Linked DNA regions of Drosophila melanogaster. The protein of the gene in region 1 interacts with the protein of each later gene in a pairwise test. Each region holds a gene or a part of one and is shown in the gene's direction. Other genes may lie near its edges.

The links. The genes of interacting proteins can lie anywhere in the genome.
Region 2: the proteins of CG15529 (region 1) and CG3081 interact in a two-hybrid assay, tested with the Drosophila melanogaster proteins (one large-scale study listed by BioGRID).
Region 3: the proteins of CG15529 (region 1) and CG43183 interact in a two-hybrid assay, tested with the Drosophila melanogaster proteins (one large-scale study listed by BioGRID).

The regions. Positions count from the first base shown.
Region 1 is NT_033777.3:30,148,040-30,156,028, forward strand, and holds CG15529 (uncharacterized protein), read left to right. Parts: upstream 1-4,019; 5' UTR 4,020-4,141; coding exon 4,142-4,355; intron 4,356-4,603; coding exon 4,604-4,980; 3' UTR 4,981-5,049; coding exon of another isoform or gene 5,050-5,180; 3' UTR 5,181-5,241; coding exon of another isoform or gene 5,242-5,566; 3' UTR 5,567-5,660; downstream 5,661-7,989. Other genes in the region: CG11498 (uncharacterized protein), read right to left, coding at 5,050-5,180, 5,242-5,566, 6,715-6,844, 7,020-7,784, 7,876-7,989.
Region 2 is NC_004354.4:4,636,491-4,645,013, reverse strand, and holds CG3081 (uncharacterized protein), read left to right. Parts: upstream 1-3,851; 5' UTR 3,852-3,937; coding exon 3,938-5,689; 3' UTR 5,690-5,755; downstream 5,756-8,523. Other genes in the region: CG3062 (uncharacterized protein), read left to right, coding at 230-256, 2,684-2,820, 2,872-3,181, 3,362-3,646; pon (partner of numb), read right to left, coding at 6,355-7,902, 8,097-8,523.
Region 3 is NT_033778.4:8,588,531-8,595,737, forward strand, and holds CG43183 (uncharacterized protein), read left to right. Parts: upstream 1-3,664; 5' UTR 3,665-3,790; coding exon 3,791-3,914; intron 3,915-3,965; coding exon 3,966-4,054; intron 4,055-4,111; coding exon 4,112-4,244; intron 4,245-4,303; coding exon 4,304-4,374; 3' UTR 4,375-4,439; downstream 4,440-7,207. Other genes in the region: CG14752 (uncharacterized protein), read left to right, coding at 2,040-2,060, 2,493-2,554, 3,035-3,290; CG8736 (uncharacterized protein), read right to left, coding at 5,635-6,111, 6,319-6,333.

The DNA.
Region 1 (7,989 bases):
GTAACTTTGCAGTATGAACATGGAAACTGAGTTCATTGGATCGGCCTAAGTTTGTGATAAGAGGCCATTGCAATTGCATTGTGAGTGCTGAAACGGGGAAACCCCGGCCAACTTGTTGACACAAATGCTGCACATTCATGCTTCAAATATAAGCATAAATATTTCTTCACTTTTATCAGCAGAATCGAAAGGGTGCGATAATCATCGAATGCTCCTCGAAGTCGAAATGACTGAACCGAGTGCATCGGACATTTCTGCACTTTCGAATGCAATGCGTTCGAGCGCCGCGTTTGTCGGCGTTCGGAGGCTTAACCGGAAACTTTTAATTTAATTAATTTATACACAAAGGCGTAATCAAGAGCACTGGCGACTTGAGGAGGTCGAAGGACGGGCGGTAGGCGGTGGGCGGTGGGCGGTGGCATGCGAATTGCGGTTACAAGCGCCGTGTGCATCTGATAGATAGATAGATACACCCCACCTTCTCCACCTATGCCCGTGCCATACCATCCCATCCAAACCGAACCGAACGCTTTTGATGTTCACTCGCCCTGCTCGGTTCATTTCGCCATAGTTTGCTTTATTTCCCTGCCCATCGAGTGCAATTCCAAAAAATCCGCCATAAGTAGGAGGCTGGCATCCAAAAGATACAAGATGTATCGCTAATGCAAACTGCAGATGTCTTTTCTTTTCGCTACGCGGCAGTAAGCGGGCAACAGGTGAACTTTGTTTATTGATGCACTCGTTCCGCTAATTTGTTTGCTCGGGATGATTTAATGGGCTGCCCGCTGACAGGGTCAAGGGTGGGTGGACATGCGAATGGATATATGGAGGGATCCGCATGGATGTGCGGATGGATTGATATATGGCTGATGGTGATGACCGGAACTGGATGTTATCAATTAGCCAATCAACAGGACATGCGATACGTGCAACAGGTGAAGACTTTCCCCGCTGCGAAAAGCAAATATTTAGTTGCCTTTGCGGTTAGCATAAACATAATGCTGAGTCCGAATTTTATCGATTTTCTTTTTCGGCTCTCTAACATATGTTCTTTTTTCGTTTGTTTGCACTAGCACTATATATAAATTAAAGTAAACTTTGGGGGTAATTAGTGTAGTTACCTGGAATCGAAGTTGGATTTCCAGAGAGTGGTCCTAAAACTAGAAGGAGGAGCCACAGGTGGTTTTATATATCAGAGAAACAAACACCTTTGCGAATTCATAAATCCGCGATCCAATCACCTGTTGCGTCTTGATAATCTCTCTTTGGCTCTGTATTATTTTCTTATAGCCCGAGACGCTAATTCAATTGACACTCTTTCGGGCCTCGCTGGGTTGCCATAAAAACTGGATGGAAAACTTTTCCAAGCTTATTTAGTTTGGCATTTCATTGAGACGGAACCGCACAGACACAGGCACACACGCACCGGATTTGTTTATTAATTTTATTATTTATTTTTTATGGCATTCGAAACTGAATTTTAAAACTTGATACCGCTGCGATATGCGATTCTCCACTGCGGATATGCGAAATATCCACCGCGCTGGCCAACGCTCGACGGCAAAATGCGCGAATGAATCGCACGGATAGCAAGCCCAAGCAGTTGGGATTCGGGCTCGGGATTTCCGAATCGGGTAACCCAACTGGGGGACTTCGGGAAAAGTGGACGAGCCCCCGAGCTGCGGACTGCGAGCTGCGGACGCCTGTTGAGTGCTTGGAAAAGCGCGGAGAGTTGCAGTTCTACGGCTTGGCCTCCGTCCGGATATAATCGTAAACGAAATATGCTGGCTCTTTTCTTTATAGCTATGATTTGTGGCTGTCGCCGAGATTCCGCTCGCTATTTCTGGCCGCCGTTTGTGAACGTTCTTTACACTTTCAATGGCACTCAAATATAATTGAGACGTAAACCGCGATGGGCAATATGTATTTTCTTAGACGGACCAATAAAGAATCGACGGGTCTGCCAATCAATCGGCATCCGCTCATTGATATTGATGGCCCAGCTGGTTGATCCTTGGCTTCGGAGGGGTACTACTTTTCGATGCGGATGTGCCCAAGAGCACGCAACCCCCGAAATAATCGTTTGGCCAAAATCAATTTGTGCCATTGTGCTGCTTTATGGGCTGTCATCCCGGTATAGAACCAGAAGCCCCCATAAAACCCCCATCGATCCATCGGCTTGTTAGCAGTTCATCAAAATTGTTTGCCGCATATTAATTGCCCGATGTTGGGGCTGCTACTGTGTCAAGCGGAGTGCGATCGTATTGCTCGAGCATCGGGTATTATTAATGCCCCCATACTACAATATCATATCGGACCATCACCATCGACTGGGAATATCGTTTTATTGACATTTACGTGCACGTGACTGGCCTGCGAAGATGTTTGCCTTCTGTCTAGCGAATAGTCACTGCTTTAGATGTGCAAACAAAATCGCGATGCTTGCTGCAGCCAATCCGGCGTATACGTAATGAACTGAGCAGCACTCTTTTTGCCCGGATCTGTAAGTTTTAGAACCATATCTATGGGTCCACGTGCTGGCAATTTGCACGCCCATTTTGGGTTTTACAAGGAGATTTGAATGCAATCGATTCGGAGCGTAGTCAGCTCGCACAATTTATGACCGCACTTTAATTGCTTTTGAATTTTAAGAAATATTTAAATTGTGCGAGAGACAGGGAAGTGCGAGTGACAGAGACAGCGGGAGAGCTTCACCACAGCCGTTGGTAAGCTTACGGTAAAACTTCGAAAGGTTTGTGTCTCAGCTAATGCTTAACGCTTTAAATGATTATTTAATCTTTAACATGGATAATTTCCTTGTAAAAATAAAACGATTATTTTGGATGGAAAATGAGAAAAACTAGTTGATCAAAATAATCCATGTTTCCAAGTGGTTTTTTCAATATTTCTTGACTGAAAATGGTCGTAAAGTAAAAATAATTACTGTTTTGTGCAGCTAATTACCAATGCTTACGATCCCTGTCCCGTTTTTTCGAATTAAGAAAAAAAAATTTTTTTGTCAATTTTCGAATTTTTATAAGGGGTAACATCATCAAATTTTGCAAAAAATCGCAAAAATTTAAAGTTTCCAAATTTGAACACTAATCGATTGGGAAGTTAATTAGGAGTAAAATAAGATATGCCACTCCACTTTTGAACCATTATTTTCAAAGTTGTGTCCAAAAAACGCATTATTTTTTAACCAAAAACAGGGAAATCGAGCTTGGACCAAAAAGTCATATTTACAATTTATAGGATTTATAATTATAGAATTTTTTGAATGCCTATCAAATGGGACTTAACCAGCACTATCAACAGCTCATTAATAAAAACAACAGATCAGCAAAACAAACTCAGTTCTCAAACTTTTTAGCAGAGCGGGCAAACGGCTCAGATCCATATGTTGGCCACTCGTATCCATTCGGTCTCGGTTATGTAGAGCCGCAGAAATGCGATATGGGGAACCCCTCCCCACCAAAAATTGCAGGCACATTCAATGAATTCCACAGTCAGTCGGAAAAATGGTGGGGGGGGGGGGTATGGAAAATGCATGGGTGCTAAACGTTTAATAATTGTCGTTGCCCACATGTACACTGCAAAGAATTGTACACTCAAAAATAATCCTATTTTCGTTATGTACGTTTAAACTGCGTTCTTTCAGTGGATCTCTCTATATATAAAGACATTACAGATAATTAAATTGTGAGATATTAAGCACAGAAAGGTTGACTGCATTTCTCATTGTGTATAAGAACAGAGAGCTGATCTCCCCACTGCACTCGGAGTATCCAGTTACTCGCCGGGCTTCAAACTATCCGAGTTCCCGCGTTCTTGCCAATGTGAATTTTGTTTACCAGCCATATCCATATCTTATTTAAATATGAACATTTCTGCCGCCCCACAACCGAGCAGTAGACACATTTTAATTAATAAGCACTGCCAGACGAGACGGCTTCTGTTCTCGGGCTCTGAATTCTGGGTTCTGGTTCTGGTTCCTCGTCTGGTTCTGGTCACAAAGTAGTCAGTCTTCAGCGCAGCTCGATAGCGAAAGATGTTTGCCGGGAGCGGCGGTCTCAGTGCCACCGATCCATCTAATCCAAGGTCGCGGGAATAGGACTGCTCTACTGTGTCGTTTGGCGCCATGTGCTGCTGGTGTGCACGTGTCTACTGGACGGTTCTGCACAATCTCCTGGCTCGCATGATGGACAGCCTGATGGAAGTCAGATCGCCCACCTTCTGTAGCTGCTGCTTCGGTTATCAGCGGCAGGCCAGTCAGGAAGGTGACGTCGCAGAACGGGTTTCCAGCACCGACGACGATCCACAACAGCAGCCCCGTGAGGATTACGTCATTGTGGGTGAGTACGCATCGATCTCTCGGTTTCAAAACAAAGCCAAATCCCCAGAGTGACGGCATATAAACCAAAACAGAAAGCACGATACAGTTCGTAGAGCTAAATTTAACTCGAATTTAAGTTTAAATGATCGAAATTTGATAAATAATAGATAACTACAGAGGCATAAATTAATGTAGAGTAATACTCAATTAGAAGATTAAGCGGTAAATAGGTCCAATTACTAATACAACATTTTTAATTCCGCAAAGACGATGCCGATGTCAACTACGCGGAGATTGAGGAGAGGCATGTGGAAAAGGAGCAGTACTACTTCACAGTGGATCGTCCTACGGCGGAGCGAATGCTCCATGGACGAGAGGACGGGTCCTGCCTGGTTCGACCTTTCAAGGCAGCCGACCAGTGGATCCGTTACATAGTGAGCATCTGGGCGGCGGATCAGTACTATCACCTGTTCATAAGGCAAGTGGATAGGAGACAACGCTATGCCATTGGTCAGAAGAAGTCTCAGGAGCGCTGCTTCGGATCCCCCTCGGAAATCGTGGAGTTCTACACGGAGCATCCACTTCTCTGCACCAACAAGGTCCGGAGCCAGTGCGTCCAACTCCGTCCCATCAGTTACGCTTAGCTAGGGGTCAAATCTTTATTGCATAAGAGAGGGCAAGTATGTACAAATGGGGTTAGCTTAAGACGATGCTCAGGTGGCCACCACCGCCTTGAAGGCGCACTGGTTGTTCTGCATCAGGGCGGGCCAGAGGAAGGCTTTTATCAGATCCGATCGCCGGTCCGCCTGGGGATGCCGCTCGTGTTTCTCGGGCCTCAGGAAACCTGCATGGGATTTACGTAGGTGTAAGATTGTTAAACGATTAAAGAGTAGCTTAAAACCCACCCAGGTTGAAGTCCATGTCCAGGTAGTACGGCGCCTTCTGGTTGATCATCCTCCAGGCCAGTCGGACACAGGCACTGACGTAGTGCGTCAACGGGGGGCAGGACTCCAGGCAGGGGTACTCGTGCAGAGTAGATAGCACCTGGTTGAACACCGACCGCTCGATCTCGCCCAACGGGAAACTCTCGGCGGTCTCGAAGAGGTGCTGGCGAACGGATCTGTCCAGGGACAAGGTGGTCTCACTGCTGCTGTCCAAGGGGCAATTCAGGACTCGCCGAACTTCCAGGACCTTTCGCTCCCGCATTCCGTGGCACAGGCGGAAGGAGAGCTACACAAGTACCAATAAGTTAAGAAAATTATCAATTAGATGACTATCTAATTAGACTTACTTATGAATGAATAAATAGTTTTTCGAAAATCATAAATATGTGACTTATTATTATCAACTAATCTTGATGGTACCATTTCCCTGCAAAAGTGTCGTTCATCTGAGATCGAAAGTGATTCAAATCCCAAGCGCCTACGTAATTTTCTGACACCCTGGGGGCTCCACTTTCCCTCACATTTTCACTGCACCAACGCCTAATCATCCTCTAGTGCGAATTCGATCTTGCAAAATTGATATTTTGCAATCGCAGTTTGTGGTCCGACAGGATTTAAAGCATCCAGAGCCCACGGGCTTGGCTGGAAATAATTGATGGCCAAGCACTTGAAAATTGAAAGTAATCTTCGCTGGATGAATTGGTCTCACAGTTTGAGAGTCATTGTGCTGTGCTAAATTTCCAAACGAAAGCAGTGCAAGCAGTTCGTACGCTGAGCTACTTCAAGATCAAGTTTATCAGCTTTTGACCTGCCAAATGCCAATTGGAAGAGTTCGTCCCAATTTTAAAACAATCGCTATTTTTTCACTTTTGACAAGGGCTTTATTCTATTTGAATAGCCTTAAGAATTGTATAGAAAAATATCTATTAGCATTGTAAAGTTAAAGTGTTATTGACATGGAATTGGCACGCTGAAAGATTATGAACGCCCATAATAAATTGAGGCTATTCATCACAAATAACTCCGTACTGTCTTGACAAGTGAAAACGAAGGAGATAATTATAAAAGTAAAACTATGTTGCTAGCGATTTATATTCCAAAGACAAGTGAATGATTGACTGGCAATAATTTCTCCTCATGATTTAATCTCAAATTCTTTCTCAGCCACCTAAAGTTTAGCAACGAAATTAAATACAACGTAATACAAATAATGGTAGCGAACACACCCAATAGAAAACTTACTTATCTCCCAAAAAAAAAAAAGTGAAAACAAGGCCGACTCGCAATTGGCACTAATTTCTCCCGATCGAGGTAATCTCGAAATACGTTCGGCCTCTTTAACAATCCATTATTGAGTGTTCGGACATATCTACTGTATCTACAATCTACAACCCATCCCAAAACACATACGAATGCTAGGTACTTCAGACTCACCACGATCATGGAGAAGAGTATCTTCCCCTTGAGGCTGTGCGCGTGTTTTATCTGGGGAAGACTGTCCAACGCCTCCAAGGCGTCCGCTCGGTTCTCGACGTAGAGATTCCGATAGAGCGACACCATTTCGCTGTGGAGATAGAGAAATGGAATCACAAATCAGAGTGTGGGATGCGGGCAGGTGAGAGTTGGATGCGGTCGCGATCTGATTTGACTGAGTTTGTAATGTGGGTGTTGCACCTTATTGGAACTCGGTCAAGTGTAAGAATTAGGTTTTGTATGTATTCTTTATGTATGTTTTTTACCTGCTGTCATCGCTTCCAGAGTCGTCCGAGTGATATCCATCGCTGCAGCTGCTCGTGCTAGCGCCGCCTGGGGGAGTGGTCTTTCCAATGGAGTGGGAGGAGCCCGGAGGACCTCCTTCAGGGCCCATCATGTGGAGCACCACCTCGCAGCCGCGGGAGAAGTTCATCAGCAGACCGGCGGCAGGGCGTTTCTCCACGAGCGCCTGTGCGTCCAGACGACGCACCTGACCCACGCAGGTGAGCACCTCCTTGTCGTTCTCCACCCGCGTGCTGAGGTTCTCGACCAGGGTTTGGAGCTGCTTGAGAGCCGGCTTGTCTAGCATTGTGAGCAGGGTCTTGTTGTCGATCAGTCGCTGCTGAATATCCCCATAATTGATGGCCAACAATCGTTGATGGGAGGAGTGAGCAGGGTCTTGGTTGACAGTCACCATGCTCAGCTCCTCCAGCTTGTGAATGGCCATCTTGTAGGTATCCACATGGCGTTGCAGCTCGGTTTTCAGGGCTACATGTAGGGAAATAAGCTGACCCGAGGCATCGGTGGTCAGTCCATGGACCCCAAGACCTTGTACAGCGTTATCAAAACTGCGTCTTCTTTCCCTCAAAGTCTGCCGGAGCCCTGGTTCGTACTGAGCCAAGGCCTGCAGGAGTCGAGTGCATCTCTGCCGGAGTCCTGATTCATGGGGATTAGCGAACAGACGCACCAACTGCCAGGCCACCGTTTCACTAGGCACATCTGGCTTGGGAGTGGTGTTCAGGGTGGTCAATCTGTGGGAAAATTAAAAAAAAATAGTAACGTTTGATATAAAACGAAATATTTTTAGAAGACTCACAATATTCAACTTTAATAATAACTCACCTGGTAAAGAAAGACTCCAGAAGGTAGGCACTGTGAGGCAGGTGCTCCAGCAGCAGGTCCAGCGGAAGCTCAGCGATCACTGATCTGAGAACCGAGGGACCCAGTCTGCCCACC
Region 2 (8,523 bases), on another chromosome or scaffold:
GGAAAAGCCAGATGCTAACAGTTCCCCCTTTTTCACCAACCTTCAAGAACCACGTATCCACGTATCAAAAGCGGGCGTGTCCTTTGCGCCAAGCCCCGCCCATTTGTGTAAAAGCGAAGTAGAGCAGCCTCTGTCATAATTTTCAAAAATTGAGGATACATTTTTATTTTTTTGTTTTAGAAACTGTGAAAGCGTCACGGAAATTTCGACTTTTGTGCAAAATTTCGAAATGGCCCTTCATTTTAGTGCACAGCAGGTAAGACAAATTTATTCTAGTCGATTGGGAGGCTGTTTTCAATATCCATAAATAGTGGCCTAATTTGGTTGGTACGGGTAACGGGTATATATATATATACATATATATATATTTGTGTGGATCCATGGATGTAAACATTTTCGCAATAATAATAACAACAAACGTGGCAATGGCAACCAACTCGATTCGGCGCCATCCTTTTCTATCCAGTGAAAAACGACTCCTGCATTCCGACAATCGGCTGTTTGTCCCTGTATGGGTGCTATTTTCATGGGTGTGGGTGTACTGGCGTTCATAAACAAAAACAAAGGCCAGGCGACAAGGAAGTTTTGTTGTGTGCATATTTTAGTTTTTACCAGTTATATATTTTATTCTTTATTTATATTTTTATATATTTTAAATTAACTCATTTTGAATGGCATGTGTTTCCTTTGCTCGAATTTTAAACTTTTGTTTATTTATTTTTGAAAATATATGTCGGGTGTTTTCTTGTTTTTGAGTGTCGTACGCATAACGTTACCGCTACCGCTCCGTTACCGTTTCCGCTCCCATAACCGTTTGAGCTCGCTTTTTCATTTCCTCCCCGCCCACCGCCCACCGCCCACCGCCCACCGCCGCCTTTGCACATTTGCAAATAGCGACAGTTAAAGTTTATTTACTTGGTAACGGTTACTTTGGACCAGAACCTTTGCCACGCAACTCGTTTTTGGGAGTCCACAGCTATTCGCCATATACACACACAATCGCAACGGAATCGGTTAACTGCGGTGGTGACGGAATTTCGAAAAGAATCTATTCGAATCGCACTCGAGAATCAATCGAAACGCCTGGCGTTAATGGTTTACCAATTGGCCAGGGCGACAGCTGTTCGGCCAGCGGAAATTGAAATTGGAAAAATTGAATGGAGCATTGAAAGAAGCAGAAGCAGGAGGCGGAGCACAATCCACAGGATACAGGAGCTTTGGACCAAAGGATAGTCGGCGGCAGAGCGTGAAATTAGCTTAAGTGCTTGTCGCCTCGACCAGGACACACCAGTGGATACAAGTGCGACATTAGATACGATACAAGAGTACCCGAAAGTAGAGAAGTACCTTCATTCTGGCGAACTTCTAGCCCAACCCCAGTGCCTCGGCCTAAACCAGCGATTCAACCGTGCACGTGTTTGCCAACTAGCTTTTTGACTGTCTAATCCTGCGGATGCGAGAATGCAAGGACACCATGTGATAAATTGCACCCCAGAGGGTTGCCATAAAAATCATCGCTTCACCCAGCTGGGGTGACCACCTCACCCATCTCAACCATCTCATCCAAGGGGTGCAAACTATTCTACCCATATATGCTACCAATCTATCTATCTATCCCATCACTGTATCTATCTGTCTATTGTGTAGCGTTAGCATAGATACCACACCATCGAGCCAAGTGCTGTTAGCTCCTTTGTTGCTAATTGAGTTTAAAATCAATTTGTATTTTTTCACGCCGCAATTTGTTCGAGCGCACAGCTACATTGCGTAATTGCCGTGCAAATTTAATTACAGCGCCGATGCGGTAATGCTGGTTGACCAACAAAACAGCCACGCGCTGCGAACGTGCGCCCTTGTCACACCCACTCACAATACGGAATCAGCACCCAGTGGAACACCCACTGCAGCACCCATCGATCAAGGCCTCAATCAAGTGGTGACACTCGGAGCGCTCCGAGTATCGAGTTACCAGCGAAGGTCCATTTGCATTCCTTAATTGAAATTCGTACGCGTGGGAAGACCACGCAGCCTGAAAGCTTTGAATCTCCCAAAGTTGGATGTTGCTCCATGTTTTTTTTTTTTTTTGGAAGAGATGATCTTCCATTTAACAGATTTCACTTCTCATATTCATATTCAATTATGCCACATAGTAGTTCAATCCAATTCAATTGCAGGCATATTGCCGGGCTCACTTGCTCCTGTGCCCGCTTAGGGCTGGCTAATCCTTCTGATAAATGGTCCGGGCTTTGGATGAGATGCAGTGGCTCGTTTTTTAGCGCGCGCAGAGATGTTGGAAATTTTTAGAAAGGCAAACACAAACAAGGCATTAAGTGGCATTAGACAAATGCCTTTCTACACATGTTCCAGCGTAGAGATTACGCCGTGTAATTGGCCCCACCTCCATTCGCCCGGGGTGGGTTCCGGTTTTCGATTGACATTTGGCCACGGCTGCGGGGTGGGCTACTGCTCTGCTCTGCTCTGCTCCTTCTACAATTTTTTTTTTTTTTTTTGTTCTTTCTTTTTATCAATTGCCTTGTTTGCGCTGGGACCATAAATAAGGGCATTACTCGCAGGGGGCGTGCGCGTTTTCCTAACAGGTGTCTATCGACTCCTGGCTAATCCCATGCCCATGCCCATGCCCAGCTCCCTGACATCGAGTTCCTTACTTACTCGTTCGTTGCAGTTCGAAGGCCGATTCCAGTCGAAGCGTCTCAACAACTGGGAATATCCGCGATTCTCACCACCCCGCCCACGTGGTCTGCAGAAGAACGCCAAGGTTGTGGCGGCCAATAACGGTCACCTGCTGCCCGAAGTGATAAAGTAAGCAATTGCCAATGCCCCACAATTATACAGTTTAATTTTAATCCACAGGGAGGGCAACTCATTTGGCCAATATCGTGGAACCTACGAGCTACCGCGTCGAATAACCCGTGCCTTTTGCGCCCACTACGATGCCTGTCTGAGTGGGCGGTACAAGTTTGTTGACTTTCCGCGTGACCTGTGCAATTGTCAGCGAGAGAACCGCAGGGCACTGGCCTGCGATCAGCGGTTGACCTTGGGCCACAAGGACGATCCCTACTGGATGCGCGAACGGTGCCAGACGAAGTGCGAGGGACTACAGAAGCTGAGGGCGTTGAGCGAGCGGAGTGCGCGCTGCAATCGGGCCAAGTGCGACGTGGTGGTGAGTGGGAATCGGGGTCACCATCGGGGTCACCATCGGTGTCACCTCTTACCAATTATGTGCACCCAGATTATTGAGTTATCTGCAACCAAGCTATACATATTTTCATTTCTGGTTGCACTTTTTGCACTTTCATCCTGCACCCTGCACACTCACATTCACATTCACCTGCAACCGTAGAGCGAGAAAACCGTGAAGATGACGCCGAAGGCAATCAAGACGACGGGTGTGGCCACCGAAAAGCGGCGTCGAAAGCGCACCATAACCGCCTTTTCCAAAGGACGAACGGCATTGCATCCCAATGAGCTGACCAAGCCGATTCCATCGTCGGAGAAACCGGCGGCGACTGTCGCCACTCCCAAGGACAAGCCGAAGGACAAGCCAAAGGACAAGGAGGCGGGCAAGAAGGATAAGACGAAGGATAAGGGCAAGGAGAAAGAGCGCAAGGCGGCGAAGGGCCATTAGTAAAACTTCATTATTTTGTTCAACCGAAATTCAAATCAAATTCATTGTAACCGCAGGTTTAAAATACATTTTAAAGGGCAGCACGATTGCACTCAACACAAATCATATAGCATATATATTTTATAACTAAACCCAGGTTAAACCATCTGTTACATATGTACATAAATCATACATCATTATCATCTCCATCTCCATCTCCATCTTATCTCATCCCATTCCATTCTGCACCACCAACGCATTGCAACAAGTGAACGAACCTGAAAGCCACCTACTCCATTACTCCATCCAATCATGTCGCAAACAGCTCTCCCGGAACTGAGCTACACGCCGGGCGACCTAACAGAGCCGCAGTTCCGGCTGCCCTCGCACCAGGAGCTCCTCGACCAGAAACGCAACAGCACGGACAGCGTGCCACTTGGTCGTCTCACCTTGGACACGCGCGACACGCAGCCCATCAAGTACAGGGAGCAGCTGGGCTCGGCGGCCGGTCGTCAATTTCCGGCATTGGCAGCGGCCCAAAATCGCTATACGGATCACTTGGAGCGCAGCAGCGAGTTGAGCTTTGCGTGCCTGGAGCCGGGCAAGGATCTAATCTCATTGCCGACGGTGGGTATACGAAGCTTTGATCTCGATCCCGTATCCGTATCCGAACCCGATTTGATCAAGAAGATGCCGCTGCACTCGATCACGGAGAAGCCCAACGAGCGGTGTCCATCGCCAGTGGTGCCGGCATATGCCAATTTCGAGCTGGCCAAACGGATGCACCAGGACAATTTGGACCACCAGCCGCTGCCCGATTGCGTCGCCGATTTGGCATTCCGGCGAGCGCAAATATCCGGCGGACATGCTGGCCTGGCCCTGGAAATCGATCCCATTGCCACGGGCGTGGGTGTGAAAACGCACAATGCTGGTCCGACGCACTGCACCAAGATGAAGGTCTTTCGTCCGAAGACCGGCGGTGGCATCGTGCCACGTGCCCTCGGCAATGGCGATGCCTTTCGAGGTGTTGGCTCCGCTCCGGCCAAAAAGATGGGACCCATGGATTTGGCCATTTGTTGGGACTTCAAGCCGGCGAATCCATCGGATGAGCCGCGCCTGGCCAGGCACATAGATGGCTCCAATGACTCCGCTGGACCGGCTGTCTTCACCTGCGTGAAAACGCCTCGCGAGGAACAGTCCTCGGACTTGGGCCGATCGGCTGGCGTCTTCACCAGCACGCTTGGTGAGGCCGATTTCTTCGACAAGGACATCCTGAGGAAGCGAACGGATTTTGGCGGTGCCCGTGTGGATCGCGAGGATCCGTGCGCCTGCGACTACTCGCCACCGGCCAGACAAAGAGCACGCAGTGTCTCCCGCGATTCCAGTGCATCGCATTGCAGGCGAGGATCGGGCATCGGCGGTCCAACTGGCGGTGTGAGTTTCGGCAATTTGGCGGAGCTACCCGGTCGCGGGATGCCCGATCGTCTAGCCAAGCAGTATCAATCGTCACCCCTGCTGGGCGACAAAGCCTACCAGGCTTTGAGGGAGAAATATTTGGGTCCGGACTCTGGACAGGATTGCAGGGCCATGGATTGCCGGCCAACGGGTGGTCCACCATGCAAGCGAGACGTTCTCCTCCGGCGTCCAGCTCGACGTCTCTGCCACAAGGTGGCTCCAGCTCCCAGATGCTGTCCCCCATCGTTCGGCGGACATGGTCATCACCATGGACATGGACACGGACACGGACATTGCTTGACCAGTAAGGCGGCATTTCGCGCCGGAGTGCCCAAGCATAATGCCTCCGGTGATTTCGTGGGAATAGAACCGGGCTGCGGAGGAGGTGGCGGTGGCGGTGGTAGGGTTCTGGTGGTGCCACGCCCCCGGCAGCCGTATGCCAAAAAGAATTACGACATCGAAACCCTGGTGCCGCCCTTCCAAAGCCAAGCGGGCGGAGCGGGTCAGGGCGGCTATCCAGAGCACTGGCGATTGGCCAGTGTCTATCAGCACGCCTACAAGCCCATCGACCAGCGGCGGCGACCCCTTCTCCAAACTGTCTACAAGTAGGTGTGCTCCAGGATGGCAGTCCGCTCAAGAGAGAAATGTCCGGACAAACGGGATAATGAATAATTGAAAGCTATACAAAAATGTCCATAAGCTAAGCAAGTATATTAACTTATCAACTTAAATGTTTGCTAGTCATTAGCATTAAATTGATGCATCTGTACACACAAATTAGTCGGAAAAATCGGTCCAAGAATAGGAAATCACACGTTTATGTATAAAAAAACAAATGTTATATATATTAGAAAGCATATATATATATATATATAAAGATATATGGGCAAACATACATACATACATATATGAATAAACGTGCAAACATCAAGTAACTTAAAACTATAAACAGTGTGCAAATTAATTTGCAGAGTTCGCTTGAAAAATTAAGAAAAAAAACTTGATTAAAAACTAGGTGATGATGTGGTTTTCAGATGAAATAAGGTTTCCTTTCCTTTTTTCGCTGGTCTTGTGTGACAATCTTTGGGTGCAATTAAAAACTTAACTAGGTGCTGAAAAATCGAATTGAAAAGAAGTCAATTGGGTCAATTCAACAAGGGGAAGGCGCATTTCAAAAATAATAACAAATAAATTTAAATGCTTTCGGTTACAGAAATGCCATTTGAAATCCCCTAAAAATCGACGCACCAATTGAATCTGTGGAGCCAACCTGCTCACTTGGCGGTTGCATAGGCATCGTGACTCTTGTGGAACACATGGCGCAGCACGTCCCGCGTGGACCGCCTAATGCTGTTCCGCAGTGAGTGCTTCTTCTCGTTGGTCAGCTGCTCGATGGTCATGTACTCGGTTTGGGCAACGCTCGAGCGGAGCTTCATGGTCCGTTCGCTGGTGTCGATAATGGAGACGTCGGCGAGAACGGGCTCCATTTGCTCCTCCAACTCGGCCGCCTTTTGTGGCCTCCTGCGCAGGCTGTGCCGAATGCTATTGAGTATGTTGTGCTGTCCATGGCCCTGTCCATGTCCATGTTCATCCTTGTCCTCGGACTTTACCTCGGATGGCGTGGTGTGCGACGTGGGATGCATCAGTCTTCGAATGGACTTTCTTATCATGCCTTTCATTCCGATACTGGGCTTAACTTCTGCCGATTTGGCGGACTTGCTTGATCCGATGGACTGCAGCGACTCCTTGCTGGCCGCCTTGGAGGGCAGAGCGGCGGGTCTGTAGGCGCGAACGAAGCGCGCGGGTGCCTTGAAGTCTAGATCATCGGGCTCGTCGTCGGATTCGGATTCGGAGGCATAGGCCACATCGCCGTCGGTTGGCTCCTTTTCCCGTTCCTCTTCTAGCTGCCTTTCCAGGAGCTCCTCCTCCTCCAGCTTCTCCTTCTCCAGATGCTTGGCCCTCTCCTGGAGCTTTTCCCTGAGCTGCTCGTGCAGCTTCTCCTGCAGCTTCTCTCGCTCCAAATGTTTTTCCCTCTCTAGGAGTTTCTCCTGCTTCAATTGCTTCTCCCTCGTTAAATGTCGTTCCCGCTCTGAGACCATCTCCTGCTCTAGAATCTTCTCCTGCTCGAGAATCACCTCTGCTTCGCGGTCCTGCTCGAGCAGCTTCTCCGTGTCCTCTTCCACCTCGGAAGCCTCGCTAATCTCGGTTAGTGTGCGTCGTCTGGTGCAAACCAGACGCCTCTCCACTTGAGTGTCCACCGTCACCACTTCCTGCATCATCAGCTCCTGCGTATTGGTCTCCATGACCAAGGAGACCTTGGTGTTCTTGGGCAGTTCCACCTCCAAGCTATTCCTGGGCAACTCTCTATCCACCAGCACGCCATTCTTCCGTAGCTTCGCCTCGTTGATGCTGTTCTCCAATTCCAGTTGATAGCGATCCAGCTCCTTGCCAATGTCCATAGACGACTCCTCGCTGATGGCGCCCAGCGATCGTTTGGGCGCCGGAACGGGCGAAAAGACCAGCTTCTCGGCCAGCAGCTTGCTAGGCGTTAGCTGCGTAAGGGACATGCCGTGAAAATCGATGCGACAGCCCAGCGTTGGCGTGAATGGCAAGCCGATCTTCAGGCTGGTGGGCAGCTGCTCCTCCGAATCCCTATCGGCCAGTGCCGGATTGGCCACACCCGAGGGATTGCAGGCTGCCTCGGACGCCTCGCTGGGCCGATGGATCTCGAAGGGATTGAGCGAGGCCGGCGCATCACTGCCGCGCAAATTCAGGGCAGGATTCACGAAGCCCTTGGCGGGCGTGGTTGCCGAGCGGACGACCTAAAAATATTATGGCTGAGTTATAATAATATTCTATAGCTATATATAATAAATGTATGATTTTTATGTAGTTTTTAATATATAGATTATAAAGATATTGTTTTATTTAGAAAACAAACACATATGAATGATTTCTACTGTAACTTAACTGCGACAAAAAGTACATCCATGTACGATTAGACTAGTGAACTCACCTCATATGGATTGAACTGCTTCTCGGGCAGCTCCAAATTCAGGCCAGGATTCTCGAAGCAGGCATGCTCGCGCTTCTTCTTCTTGGGCGGCTGGCGCAGGACCTCAAAAGGATTCGTGGGTAGCTTTTGTTGTTGTTGTTGCTGCTGCTGATGATGCTGCTGGTGCTGCTGCTTCTGGGCCAGATCAGCTATGGACTTGACCTCCAAGCCGGGAAACGGATTGGGTTGGCTATTCTCCTTGGCCAAACGACGACGAGCCACCATTAGCTTCTTGGGCGTGGAACTGAAGGCGGCGTTGGTGAAGCAGGATTCTGTCGACGCGACAGCTGCATCCTGTGCGTCCTTTTCTGGGGGTTGTTGCTGCGGATTCGGGGGCGGGGCAGCATTTTTATAGAGCGTCTCCCTTTTGCGTTTGCGCGGCGTCTCC
Region 3 (7,207 bases), on another chromosome or scaffold:
TGGAGCTGTGATCCTGTTAGTGCATCTAATGAGAATCATATATATAGCTATACAATAATAACTTGTGTATGATAAATGGATTCCAGATTCCAAAGAACCCCAAGACATAAAATTCAATACGAATCAAAATGTATTTTAGATCTGTTTAAGAGGTGGAATAATACTACCCGTCGTATTCCCTAATCCCATCTCTACCATCGAATCCTCGATCCAATTTCTTTCCGTACAACATCTGGAGTTGGTCCGAGTTTTTCGAGTGGTCCACATTCACAGAAGTCAAAACTCACCCAACAGGAAGTATTTGCATGTGCAGATCCCGGGATCCCGATCCAAACCAAACCAAACCGAACCGAGCCGATTCGCCAGCGCGTTCGCAGAAAGCGAAAGTAATCATCCACCGCAGCGGCCACCGGGTGGATTATTGTTTGGTTTTGCCCACGGGCACGCATGGTTAGAAGGGGCGCGGGTTGGTCGGGTGGCCGGGGGGGCGTGGCATGGAAGCTATGGCATATTTATCGCTCAGACAAATATCCATTATGCAATTTGGCATGGCTAAAACGAGCAATTTGCCGCAAATGCAATAACATCCCGGCGAACGGGGTGGGGAAAGCCGATGGTGCGGTGTTTTGGTGGTTCGATGGCTCGGTGGGGCAGGATGGCAGTGGTGCGCCCTCAAACGCAGTAAAAGCACACTGGCCTATATATACACATGAAAGCCGAGTGAGTGAAAGAAAAAAACAGCGAGTGATACTAATGGTTTAACCCGTTTGGAGCCACTTTTTATTAGGTTGAACTATAATACTCTGTTTATCTTGTTGCCAGACTAAAGATATAAAATCTTGTGGAGACTTAGTAGTGCATATATCACTTACCCCATTTTGATTATAGATTATATTTCTGAACGGAAGCTCCTTGTTCAGCCTTAAATGGGTTAAGCACGCCGCAAATTGAAGCTCTTGACAGTTGAGTTAACAGCACAGCACGGCAGCAACATGCAACATGCAACAACCAGTTGCAACAGCAGCTGACGTGGCCAGCGTTATGTCAGGGGCATTGTGGCATTGTAGAATGGGCAAAAACAATACAAATCCACACAAACACAATCAAAATGGAATTTCTTCAAAATCGTGTGATGCATTGCTTGATTAGCGCCACATCTACTGCTACTGTTAAGTAATTGCCCGAAATGCGTTTTATTGCAAATTTACGGCGTACGTGTTTCGTGCTCCATGCGTCGTGATGTGAGTTTCGCTGGGGATACATCCAAGACTGGACTCCTGTAGCTCCAACGCTGACCCACATCAATTGACACCAGCGACGACAGTTACCACTATTACCACAGAAGACATTCAAGGTCGATTGGTGGAGATGTCTTCCAAGCGATATGGAAGGGCCAAGAAATTTGGATTAGCGTGACAACTTTGTTTTGTCTCCGGCCGCACACGTTCACTTTTTGCGGCGGTCTACAGAAGGCCGCTAAGTGATCCAGTCAGCGGCGGTATATGTGCTACTTGGTCATGCATTCGGAATGATTTTAGCTCCACTCCGCGCTCTGTCTTGCGATTATGATTATGAAATGAACGTAATTTGCCCCGTATTACACAAAGCCCCGCCAAGTCAAAGTTCGATCGTCTGCCATTGTGGACAACTGAAGCATGGACCACCGCTCCCAGTCCCTCTTTACCACCGACCAGAGGGTCTTAACCCCTCGTAAACAGATGCCAACGACGGTTAATACAAATCACATATCACTACACCATGTTGGCCATGTTAACAGTCGCGCGTCCACTGTTATGCTTATTTTCGCTTGGCCGTTGAAGTTGCTGCTGCTGTTGTTGCTGCTGCTGCTGCTGCTGTTGTTGCTGCACCGACGTCACGTCTTTCTCGTGCAGCGCAGTCGGCTTGCAGCAACAACACAAAGCGCTGCTGGCGCCCGGTATAAAACGGATGAGTCGCAGCCTGTGGTTATCAGTCACCACCTGACAGTGCTCCGGTTTTAGTATCGCCTTTCGAGTGCAGCAGAGCTCAGCCCAGCCACCATGTCCGTCCTGAAAGTATTCGTAAGTGCGACAAGGATAACGTTCGAAAAAGTGTTAAGCCAAACCTCCGCGGAATGGAGCTGAAAAGGATTAAACTCATGTGGACTATCGTGAATAAAACTAACCAACTGAAACATAACAAACTCACTGAAAACTGACTTCGATAACCGAAGTATTGGAAATATACCACCAAGATCGCCTGATGGCTTAAAAAGTCTCGAATAGATATTTCAAGAAACTGCGAAAGCATTTATTTTGCAGAAATATAAATTCACCCAAAAATATTAGTTTATGTTTATCAATCGCGGACTAACATTTCATTAGATTACTTAGATTTCACCAGAATTGAACATAAATTTTGAAGTGCCAAATTAAAACTAATCACACTGATTAGTTAGCTATTTGCGTTAATCTAGCCGGACCTAACTTACTAACTTCCTTATCCCCTTTCAGATCTTCGTCGCCCTCTTCGCCGTGGCCTACTGCGCACCCAGTCCCGGCTTCTTTGGCAAACAGTGAGTATCGGCGGCGATCTGCACCTGAACTGATCCATAAATAACCCGAGCGAATCGATAAAAATACCCATTTCCCGCTTTATGCTAAGCTAACGAGCGGTCGCATGGCTTTTTAAACGCTGCGACTGCTCCGTGGGTCTATGAAATATGTGTCCGATTGCGATCGAATTGAGCAATCAAAACGCTTGTAGCACTTAGAGCCCCAGCCCCCTCCAGCAGTCTCTATATGGTGCCCACCACTGGCTACCATTGAACTTAGCCGATCTCGACTTGGCTTGGCTCGCGGCTTAGGAATTTCGCAGGCGGCGGTTGGCATTTAATTCAGCGTAATGCGCGCATAATTGTGCGAATCAATTGCCAATTGCCAATAGCCAATATGCAATAGCCATGTCTGCCAAGACGCTGGGTTCAAGCAACTGATTAGCTAACAGGCGATGGTACATGGCATTCGATCTAACCGATTTCACTTTCGATCCGCAGCGAGCACCACACCATCCACGTGCCCTACAAGGTGCACACGGTGCACCACCATCACGTTCAGAAGGTCCATGTGCCGGTGGTGAAGCACGTGCCGGTGCCCATTTACAAGGAGGTGCCCGTGCACCACGTCCACCACGAGGAGATCCCCGTGCCGGTGCACCACGTCCATCACGAGGAGATCCCGGTGCACCATGTCTTCGATGACCACCACGACCACCACGGCTGGAGCTCCCACCACGGACACGGCTGGCTGTAAGCCATCTGCCCGCTGGCCTGCTTGTCTTCAAACCCACCCACTCAGCCAGTCCCATCTGAAGCAGCCTGTAAATACTGTACAATGCTAAGTTAATGAATGTAAATAAATCACAATTCGACTGTACACAGAACAATCCTGGCGTATTTATGGCAGGATTCCCTGAAGTGGAACCTTAGTGTTTGATGGCTCACAAGTAATCTAATAAACCAAATACTTTTAATGGGAATGAAATAACGATTTTGTTATTTGAGGCTTTTTAAGTTGTTGCGATTAGGATAGATGGTTACTTTTGAAGACTCGAAACTTGCTTATCTCTATATTTATATACTATATAAGATGGTAGAATATAACCTACTTGTTAAGTAATATTTTTCAAAAGATTTTTGTTATCAGTGACAGAACTTGTACACATAAAATAAAAACCCCATATACTCAGATACTCAAATACTAATACCCTGATAGCAAATAGCCACAAATAGACACACTACCACATTTGCACCATGATATATCTACAGAGTTGCTGCTGCTGCGTGGATCTGCGAATCGGAACCATAGCAATAGGGATTTTGCACATTATAGCGGATATCCTTGGAGGCACATTTGTTGCTTTATTTGGGGAGTCGGGTAAGTGAAGCAGGATACTTGAGAGCAAGGATATGATCCTAACACCCATAGGTATTCCCGATTTGGGTCACACCCTATTCATTATCTTCGTTATGCTGCACATCCTGAGCTGCGTTTTCCTGATCATCGGCAGTATACGGGTGAGATACCAGTACAATTGATTAGTTTCAAATTATAATACTTATGATTTGATCTAGTTACGGAGCAGCTGGATGCTCTTCTACATAATAATGACTATGATCATGGCGGTAGCAATGCTCATATTGATAGTATCCGACGTCATACTCGCCGTTTGTTTCTGGGTAATGATCACGTATGCTATAATGTTCTGTAAGTAGCTAAGTGTATCTAAGATTTCACAATCCCTTAATTTTTCCCCATTGCTTCAGTTATTTGCCTTTATTCCTGGCTAGTGGCGTACTCTTTTTACGCCGCCTTAGGAGGACCTCTCTTCATCTGAATGTGATCCATTGCCAAGTAATAAATTGTACTGTGATTGTAGCAATAAAGTACTTGAATTTTTACAAATCGATCTGCATTTTAAGTGGAATAATCATCGTAGAGTACCGAAATAACTATATCTCATCTCATTTGGTTCAATCGTTTTGGATTCCAAGAATTCGAATATTCCTTTTCATGCAATAAGTTTCCCATAATCACTTCCCATTACATTTGTTTGTAAAATTACTTTCGTGAGTTGCACTTTTTTCACACACTGCCAAAAAAGAGCAAAAAAAATGGGGCAATGCTATATTGATTATAAATAAAGCAATGATTGCACGCATATTTCAGGTGAATTGGTCGGGAATGTGATAGGTTCGATTGGATCATTGCTCCATTAGTTAATCCCACTGCAAGACTGTAATTTGCAGTTGCACTTGACCTTGGGCCGGTCTCCCAAAGGCGGCAATTAAGCCGAAGTTTTGCAAGAACGACTTTCACAAAGCACTCACTTGACCAGCTCCGACTGAGGTCGACCGCCAGTCCGCGTCCGCTCCGCTCCGATCTCTCCCTTCCTACGATCTCCACGAACCCGATCCGATCCGATCCGGTCCGGTCCGTCCACTCCGCTCCTTGCCCAAGTACTTACTGTGCTGCAAGTCAGGGGCGTGGCAGGGCACATTCTCGGGGCATGAGCTCTCTTGGTTCCTAGTTCAGCACGCTTTTCAGCTAGAACTGGTCCTAGGGCAGTGGAAATGTTTAATTAAGTATATACCTTTTACACTTTCGGAACTCTTATCAATTTAACTTGAGAATTTGGGATATTTCCGTCATATAATTCAAGCTTAAAGTAGCAGGATCATTCCTTTCTGTAAATCAAGTTTCATGGAGCAGGATCTTAACAGTCTTCTTTCATACCTCATTTAGCGCACTTGACTGAATGAGTTTCTGATTGTAGACAGTTCAAATTACTTTATTTAATTATAAATGCTTACTTTGGTCAATTAATCTTTTCTTCATTAGTAAGAGTTCTATGAACCAACCAACAATTACATTTTGTAATATAGTAAGAAGTTGTAGTTGCGAATAGAACGATTTGTATACCCCCATGTATCTGCAGCTATCAACCATAGAAAGTCCCATTTCTTTGACCAACATTTTGCATTTATTTCGGCGCCAACAACAAAGAATTTCAGATTAATGTCCACTAATTGAGAACTGGGGAAAGGCGAAGCGTTAAAGGAAGCTGCGGCTGGCCGCAAGTGAGCCCTAGGCCGCCCTAGTTGCAGTACGGGAAGTTGGGGCACTGGTGCGGCGAAACTCCGGCGGGATACAGACGCTCCGTCCAGCCAGGTAGAGGAGGAGCTGCCACGGGAGCACCAGCGTGTCCGGCGTTCACGTCGCAGTAGGGATAGTTGGGGCAGGTCTGCGGATTGACGCCAGCTGGATACTTATCGCCACCGGGTGCGGCAGCAGGGGCTGCGTTCCACGAGGGCTGTGCCTGCCACTGTGGCTGCGGCTGGGGGTTCCACTGGGGTTGAGGTTGCTGCCACTGTGGCTGCGGGTTCCACTGTGGCTGCGGCTGGGGGTTCCACTGTGGCTGCGGGGCACCCCACTGCGGCTGCGGATTGTGCAGGCGCGCATTATCACAGATGGGGAAGTTGGGGCAGTCCTGCGGATTCACGCCAGCCGGATACTGGGCAGCAGGTTGGTGTTGTGGCTTGGCCACCGCCAGGGCCACGAAGGTAGCGAAAAGCTTTGAAAAGATTTTAAAAAAATATGGAATTTTTAAATGTAATAAGATACATCTGTAGTTTGAAAAATATCTGGAACTTAGGATCCTCGGATCTTAAGAACTTCAACTAAAATGTTGCAGATTTGGATTCCAGCTCCACTTAGTAGTTAAAGGAACTTTTTCAGACGCTATCCTTGTGGGCAGAAACTTGGCTCAAAGGGCACTTACCAGCTTGCAGAACATGTTGGCTGAGGTGAGTGGGTGGTTGGTAGTTGTGGAGTTGGTTCTGGTGTGGGGCTTATGGTAATCCTTGCCGAATTGGACTATGGAGTCGTAGCTCAAACTTCCAATTGGGTTCCTGGTCGGCGCTGCACTGCTGCTGCCGAGCCCGGCCATCAAGCTTATATAGCGGTGCTGGCTAGAACCGACTCTTGGCCGGGTCTCAATCTCAGCCAGAGTCTCTCGGCCAGACTCGGTTTCACTTTCATTACTGCGGCTGCTGTGCTTGTTGCTTTTGCTATTGCTGCTGCTGCAGTGGCTTTGCTTTACTTTTGCTTTTGTTTCTGTAGTTGACTGATCTCGCGCATATTTTACTTGATTGGCCCAACAGATTATTATGAGTCTTTGTTGTGGAGCGCGGACAAATAAATCGAACGGGGCCGACGGACAGATAGATATGTACAGACATACTCGTGCATACATACGGGTAATATGCTTAAACACCCAACTATGCAAACACATACGAGTGCGCACTCCCCTATCGAGTTACCGACAACATGCCGTCATTAGCAATGAACTAAGCCCCCAACTTGCATTTCGGCCAAAAAGAAATCTCCAGCCTGGGCTCGTACGGGTACATTTGACAAAGTCGCGTTGGCGTTTGGCCAATTTTCGATCCGCATTTGCCAGCGGATCAGTTCGTGAATCACTACGCTCCGCTCCGATTCGCATTTGGACTTGGATTCGGATCGTGTAAGAGGCACAGGTCGCCACCACCATCGCCATCGGCCTGCCATTGGTTCCACCATCGCCTTGGCATGCCACTGCCACATGTCGCCCGGTCTTGGTCTGCCCGGAAGGCAGCGGTGGTCCGCGTCATTGCAAACGGGTTTCGGTG